Linked DNA regions of Macaca fascicularis. The protein of the gene in region 2 purifies or fractionates together with the protein of the main gene of each other region. This does not show direct contact. Links are inferred from orthologs where the notes say so. Each region holds a gene or a part of one and is shown on either strand. Other genes may lie near its edges.

Region 1 (3,817 bases), on a different chromosome or scaffold from region 2:
CCAGCTCCTCTCTCTCAAGACATGGCTCCACTCTAGGATCACACACACACGCGCACACACACACACACGCTTGCTGCTCTGAGCTCAACCTGGGCCTGGCTGTGTGGGGCCTGCTCACTGCTGCATGCTGGACCCAGGACGGTGCTGGGCCCAGGACAGGCGGCTGCAGAGCGAGTGGGCAAATGAAGAGCAAGGGGTCGCTGAGGGGCAAACCACTCCCCGGGCGCAGGGCCGGCTGCTGGTGACAGCGGAGGAAGCCCGCGGCTGCCCGAACCCCAGCCCCAGCAGGACCCACGCAGCCAGCCCCAGAGGCCTCAAGGGGTGAGCGCATGCTAGACCGTGGTTGATGTGTGTGCCCACACGTATGCCCGGGTCTGTATGCCCATGTGCCCATGACTGACACCGGTGTGTGTCCACGTGGTATCGTGTATGCTGTGATATCCGTGTGATGCCCATGTGTGCCGTGTGATATCCGTGTGTGCCGTGACATCTGCATGTCCCCGTGTGGCCCGTGTGTGCTGTGACATCCACATGTGATGTCTGTGTGGAGTTCACGTGTGTGTGACGTCCGTGTGATGTCTGCGCAGGCCTGAGACCCATGTGTGTGCTGTGTGAGGCTGTGGGTGCTATGACGTCTGTGTTGTCTGTGTGTACCTGTGTAAGGCCCACGTGTGTGTTGTGATGTCCATGTGTGATGTCTGAGGCCCACACGTGTGCTGTGGCATGTGGGACATCAGTGCAGGCCTGTGTGAGGCCCACATGTGTGCTGTGACATCCGTGTATGATGTCTGTGTGTGCAGTGATGTCTGCGTGAGGCCCATGTGTGCTGTGGTGTTCTATGTGATATCTGTACAGGCCGTGTGTGCTATGACGTCCATGCAGGCCGGTGTGAGACCCACGTGTGTATTGTGATATCTGTGTGAGGCTATGTGCTGTGACATCCGTGTATTATGTGTGTGCCTTTGAGGTCCATGTGTGTGCTGTGACGTCCATGTGTCATGTCTGTGTGTGTCCATGCGGTCATGTGTACTGTGGCATCTGTGAGGCCACGTGTGCTGTGGCACATGTGCCATCCGTGCAGGCCTGTATGTGTGCTGTGACGTCCGTGTGTGATGTCAGCGTGTGCCGTGCTGTCTGTGTGAGGCTCACACGTGTGCTGTGGTGTTGTGATATCTGTGAAGGCCAGTGTGAGACCCATGTGTGTGCTGTGATGTCTGTGTGAGGCTATGTGTGCTGTGACATCCGCGTGTGCTGTGACATCCGCGTGTGCTGTGACATCCGCGTGTGCTGTGACATCCGTGTGTGCCCGTGTAAGGCCCACATGTGTGCTGTGACGTCCGCGTACGTAGGGCACACAGCCTGGGATTCCTGGGCCCTGGCGCCTGGGCTGCACTCAGTCCTGTCCTGGGTTGGGACCGACACCCGCAGCCCCACCCCGCCCTGGGCCTCTCCTTCTGGGCACGGCTGAAGAGCAGCAGCGCCAGGCACAGGGAGGGTCACAGGCATGCAGCTGTGGCTGACGCACCGAGTCCGATGATGCCCAAGGTCTCCCCACGGATCCTGGCGGCGCCGGACGCCACCTCGCGGATCTGCTCGACGCTCTGGACTCGCGTGCCCTCCCGCAATGCCTGGTGCAGCCAGGTGGCCCGCCGGTACAGGTTCAGGATGTGGCACAGCGTCGAGTCGGCCGTCTCCTCCACAGACGCCGCAGGCACGTTGCAGACGGCGATGCCTGTGGGGACAAGGACACGGCGGTCACCTCCAGGCCAGGCCCAGCCTCTGGGAGGACACCAGGGCTACTGTGGCTGGAGCAGGTTTGAAGCTTCCCGAGGAAGAAGCCAAAGGCCACGTCCCCAAGGCCACCCTGGGAGGCCACGAAATGAACGCACATCTCCCAGGCTCGGGGGCAACAGAGCACCTGGCCTGGCGCCTGTGCCCTGTGACTGGAGCCCCACCTCCACTTTAGGTTCACGTGGCAGCACACGCTAGCAAACTGCTCGGTGTGTGGTGGGGCCGGGGCGTGAGACGCTGCCCTGACCCCTCCCAACTCAGCATTGGGAGCCCATGTAGAGACAAGCACATGTCTCCCCGCGTCACCTCGCTGCCCTGATTCCTCCAGGGGGACCCTGCGGGGAGGCTGCGGCCAGGTCAGAATCTGGGTGCTGGCCCCACCTGCACACCCCTACATGGACATCCACACATGTCCTCAGGCCTCCCCCAGGCCAAGCCAGGCCCCCGCAGCCCCTTCCGCCCTCCATGCCCTACACCCCGCAGTCAATAACACTGCAGCTGGAGCCATTCCTAGAAAGCAAATCCATCCCATTTCTCTCGAGTGTAACCCCTACTGCCCGCTCCCAGCCTTGTCCCAGAGGCAGGCCCTTCCCCGGCCAGGGCCCCTCCCTGAGCCTATTTATCCTCATCCCTGGCCTGTCCCTGGCCAGCGCCTCCCCTGCACGGCACTTCCCGCCCCATTCAGATGATTGCACTCCTGCGTCTGACTGGCCGTCCAACTGGCCGTCCGTCTCTCTGGGGAGGAGGAAGGGGCAGGAGGCCAGGACAGGGCTGCATTCATATGCCCGGAGGCTGGACAGGACCGTGTGGTTCCGTGAGGGGTTCCGAGGGTCGGGAGGGGGCCTGACGTGGGGCAGCGCGGGCAGGCGCTGCACAAGGCCAAGGCTGGGATCCCACATCGCCCCAGACACAACTCACTTGGACGTAAAAACGTTAAACAAGGGAGACTGAGGGAGAGCCAAGCCAAGCACCACACGAGATTGGAAGAAAGGCCTCCTGACTGTGGGACGTTGGAGCGTGGGCCAGATCCCAGCGGTGCCCCAGACTGTCCCTGGCTGAAGAACAGAGCCCGGGCCTGGGAAACTCCATGGGCAACGGAGATGGTAAACAGCAGAGGTCGCTCAGAAAGCACCAGGCCTGCACCTGACACCTCACAGCCAGGACTGCACCCAACACCGCACAGCCGGGCCTGCGCCTGACACCACAGCCGGCCTTTCCCAGGATGCCGCCACAGAGACAAAGGCGGGAGGCGGCTGGCACACGGCTTTGGCCCATGGGCACCGGCGGAAGCAGCAGTGAGCCGAGATCGCGCCACTGCACTCCAGCCTGGGCAACAGAGCGAGACTCCGTCTCAAAAAAAAAAACCAACAAAAACAACCCACAACAGACGGAGCCTGGCAGAAAACAAAGTGCGCTCCACGCAGGACGGCCAAGCACCGCCCTGAGTTTGTTCTAATGAGTGCGCACGGGTGCAGACACGTGGGCACGTTCCGTGTGCGTGTGTAGGTGCATGGGTACGGATGTGCGTGTTCTGTGAGTGTTCCATGTGCTGAGTACATGAGCATAGGTGCAGACACGTCTGCGTGTTCTGTGTGCTGTGTGCGTGTTCCGTGTGCTAAGTGCACGTGCACGGGTGCGGACGTGCGTGTCCTCTGAGTGTTCCATGTGCTGAGGGTACATGAACGGGTGCAGATGCATGTGCATGTTCTGTGTGCTGAGTGTGCACATTCCGAGTACTTAGTGCACGTGCATGGGTGCAGATGTGTGTGTTCTGCGTGCTGACCGCACGTGCACGGGTGCAGATGTGTGTGCATGCTCTGTGTGTTGAGTGTACATGTTCTGTGTGCTGAGTGCACGTGCATTGTGCTGAGTGCACGTGCACAGGTGCAGATGTGCGTGTTGTGTGTGTGTGTTCCACGTGCTGAGTGCATGTGTACTGGGTTGCGACACACCCCGCTGTTCCCCCTGTGTCTTGGGACAGAGACCTATGAGCCCTATTACAGCCACACTCTGACGCCCCTGCCCC
Region 2 (4,037 bases):
GTGAACCCAGGAGGCAGAGGTTGCAGTGAGCTGAGATCATACCATTGCACTCCAGCCTGGGCAACATGAGCAAAGCTCCATCTCAAAAAAAAAAAAAAAAGGAAAAAAAAATAGAGGCAGCCAAGAAAATGAGTCAAGGGATCACACCTCCCAACTTCTTAATGCCCCCTGTGGATACAGATCTGTCACACCAAAGGTGTACCAAGGCCAAGGTATCTATACAAGAGTCCTTGTGCCTGAAGCAGCTTTGGCTAGCTCCAGCTGTGGTCTTACTGGTTCGTAGAGTAACTGCATGCACATGCATACCAGAGGCTGTGCTAAGCCTAAGGGATGTCATGGTGAGCAAAATTCAATCCCAGCTGAGAATTCAAAACCCTCAGAGGCGAACTATCACAATATAGTTTAGTAAGCAGTTGGTCCTTGTTGAAAGGATACAGGGAGATAACCCACGGACAAACTGGGCCCATTTGGTGCAGTTTCCAAACTCTTTAGGGTGAGCTGGGCCAGGAACTCTGTGAGGACCTTGTAAGGCCAGGATCCATGTGCTTAGGGTCCATTTTTGGAAAAACCTGGTCACTGAAGCATCTCTACTTTCAGGGTCAGCCTGGTCTTTCAAATAGGCTGAGGCCTATTTCCCCATGTTTCAAGGACATTTAACTATGTTTTTGTAAAAATAAAATGGCGAGACCCAAATAAAAACCTTACTTTTTGTTTAATTTGTTTTGCCAAACAAACACAGTGAAAACTTTAGTCTGACTAATTGTACAGAAAATAGAATTTGTAACCAGTAGCAAACAAAACAGGATAAACCTAAATCCCTGGCAAGCTGGATCTCCATCAGCAGGTCATCCAGATCCCCTTGTAAATGGTCTCCTGGGAAAATAAATCCTAGGAGGCAGAGGCACAGATTTACCAGTCCCCATCAGAATCACAGGCTGCACCTGGGAAGGAAAAGCATGAAAAGGAGAGCTGATGTTACTTGCATCTCTTATCACTACACACATTAGAGTTGTCTGACTGCTGACCAACCTTAAGGTATGGTTTATTCCAAACTCATAGTCCCTGGACATATCACCTGCATCCCTAGAGGGTAAGTTTCAAGTTCAGTGGTTCTGAAGCCTCTGCTTAACCAGAATCTGCAACAATAACTGGGGAAGAAGGGTAGACAAAGTCATAATTGCTGGTGTCACCAGGGCAGAGTCTAAGGCCCCAGCTTCCACTTCAGGAGGAAACAGTTGAGGATGCCAGGTCACCAGCAAGAGAGTCCAGCTGCCTTAAGCCTCAGTACTGTCAACCAGTGCCCCAGGAGTATAGAGGAGTTCAACAATGGCCTGCAGTCCCCTGGCTGGATGGGGTCTGGGAGTCCAGCAGGCCGCCGGGGCACCAGTTCACATTCCGTGCTTCTTGCGGATGACAGCCATGGCAAGCAGCCGATCCTTCTCGCGCAGTTCTTCGCGAAGCTTGGCCTCGGTGAGACGCAGATGGCGAATGCTGCCTTTCATCTCTTTCATCTTCACTTCCATCAGCGCCAGGATGTCCCGCTGCTCATTCAGCTTGCGCAGGAGCTCCTCCTCCGTGGTGCCTGACGACAAGGAGTACGAATGGTCGGAGCCAGTATCAGGGAAACCCTCTTCTCCTACCACCACCAACTGGGGGCCCATAGGGCACTCGGCAGCCTCCAGCCCTGCGGTAGCAGCCTGTAACTCCGACGCGGCGGCCGCAGCGGCTGCGCCCTCTGTGGCTGCAAACTCAACTTGCACTGTAAGATCGATGGGCTTCACGTCTTCTCCAGTGGGAGTGATGGGCGTCGGCGGCACGGATCCCGGAGCCTGACTGCTGTCTACAGCGGCCTGAAGGGTAAGAAGCACGGCCGCGGAAGCAGACACCAGGTTCGGCTGCAGCTGGGAAGTCTGGGCAGTGGAGGCAGAGGGTGACGGCTGCTGCTGTTGCTGCTGCTGCTGCTGCTGCTGCTGTTGTTGTTGCTGCTGCTGCTGCTGCTGCTGCTGCCTGCGGCGGGCGGCCGCGGCCCCAGCGGGTCTGCGCGCTACTTTGCGCTCATTGACGCCGCGCAGCGGGAAGATGGTGGGGACGCGTACCGTGTAGGTCTTGCGGCCGCCCTGGAAGTGAACGCTGCAGAGACGGTGGCCTGTGGTGGGCTGGAAGGTGGAGAAGCACCCACTGACGCCGGCACGCGACACGTTCTTGAGCCAGAGGCGCCGCAACTCAGCGTCCTTTGGAAACGTGTAGAAGTGCAGCGCCTTGTCCCGGTGCGAGTTGTTGTAGCAGCCTGGCACGCAGCACGTAAAGCCAGGCATGGCTGCGCCGCGCGGCCCGGCCCGGCCCACCGGCCTCCTGCGCCCTTCGACGGCCCAGTGGCTCCGCCGCCGCCCGCCCCTCGACGGGCGGCGCCGCGCGAGGCCTTGGGTGGTATCCCACCACTGCCGCTCGGCGCAGCCGGCCCGCCCGGCGCCCCGTGCCCAGAATACGCTTCCTGCCGGCCCGCGCCGCGCCGCCCGCCTGGCTGCCCGCCTGCGCTCGGGAGTCGGCCCCGGGGACGCCGCGAAGGACCGCCTGAGAAAGAGACTACGCCCCCCACAATGCCCCGCGCCAGGAGCCGCTCACTTCCGGGGCGGGTGTGTGCGGATTCCGGCCGCCTTCCAAGGCACGGCGCCAGCTTCCGAAGATCGGATTCTTTCTCCAGCCCGGCTTGTCCCCGGCGGGCGAGAGAGGCGTATTAGGTTGGAACGCTGTCGCCTGGACTGCTCCTTACGAGGACCCGAATCCTGATAGGGGCGTGGAGAGGGGCGGTGCGCGCCTCACCGGTGCGCAAGCGCGGTGGGTATATGCCCACGGAGACTACAAATCCCGTGATGCCTCGCCCTGAACTGGGCGCCTGCGACCCGAAGCGCCGCCTAAGGGAAAGATCGAGTTACTGCGGACCAGTATTCGGGCGAGGTTGTGCTGTTTGCCAGAACCAGTCCCCCAGCCCTGAGCGCCTTTGAGTCGACGGCATTGCTGCAGCAGAGGGAGACGAAACCTGGGCCTCAGCGCCCCGAAGGGTCTCAGGAGCCCCTTTGTCTGCGTTGGGGACTCTCTCCTGATTCAGCTGCTGCCTGCGTTGACTCCCTGACCTAAACAAAGTCTCCAGTAGACGCCTACTATGTGGCTGACCCAGTGCACGGAGTTTCCGGGAGTCAGACCGACTGGGCTCCTCTCTTGGAGCCTGACTGCCTAGACGGATGAGCCTCTGTCTTTTGGATAATAGATCTGAATGCACGCGAATGGATGTCTACTCACAGAAAGTAATCGCTCTAAAGGAATGAACAGGAGAGCAGAGAAATGGAAGCGGGGGAGGGGGTGGCCAGGAATAAAGAACGAAAGCTTGGGTAGGGAGAAGTACCCAGTTCGTGTCCCGGGAACCAGTCTGTAAGGCCACATGGCAGAAAAGAGCTAGGCTCCGCCCTTAAAGAACCTGGAAGGGGGTGGCCCAGGTAGACCAAGCGTAGGAAAATACCAAACTGGGACATGTTAAGGATTTGGGGTTTTATTCTGCAGGCCACACTGAGAGCTATTAAAGGATTTAATGCGAAAGGATTTGCATTGTAACAATACACCTCCCCCCTATCTCAACTTATTTGAGGGAAATTTTTGTGTGTGTGTGTAAAGGAGTCTCACTCTGTCGCCAGGTTGGAGTGCAGTGGTGAGATCTCGGCTCACAGCAACGTCCGCCTCCTGGGTTCAAGCAATTCTCCTGCCTCAGCCTCACGAGTAGCTGGGACGACAGGTGCACGCCGCCATGCCCGGCTAATTTTTTTTTTTTTTTTTTTTTCAGTAGAGAAGTGGTTTCACCATGTTTCCCAGGCTGGTCTCGAACTCCTGAGCTCAGGCAATCCGCCCGCCTCGGCCTCCCAAGGTGCTAGGATTACAGGCGTGAGCTAGTATCACAGCGCCTGGCCGGGGGAAAATGTTTTAAAGAACACAAAATGTTGTGGAAAGCCAGGGAGGGGCCAGGCAGTCCTTCAGGGGAATTACCTGCA

What was found.
Region 1: the proteins of THAP11 (region 2) and CTBP1 purify together in Homo sapiens (co-immunoprecipitation; 4 studies listed by BioGRID and IntAct, with this or other methods). This does not show direct contact. The link is inferred for Macaca fascicularis from reciprocal best matches to the Homo sapiens genes THAP11 and CTBP1.

What each region holds. Positions count from the first base shown.
Region 1 is NC_088379.1:1,321,884-1,325,700, forward strand, and holds part of CTBP1 (C-terminal-binding protein 1), read right to left. Parts: intron 1,733-3,817; coding exon 1,526-1,732; intron 1-1,525. UniProt on the Homo sapiens protein: Corepressor targeting diverse transcription regulators such as GLIS2 or BCL6. Has dehydrogenase activity. Involved in controlling the equilibrium between tubular and stacked structures in the Golgi complex.
Region 2 is NC_088394.1:63,893,299-63,897,335, reverse strand, and holds THAP11 (THAP domain-containing protein 11), read right to left. Parts: upstream 2,551-4,037; 5' UTR 2,316-2,550; coding exon 1,389-2,315; 3' UTR 1,030-1,388; intron 942-1,029; 3' UTR 694-941; downstream 1-693. UniProt on the Homo sapiens protein: Transcription factor, which has both transcriptional activation and repression activities. Also modulates chromatin accessibility.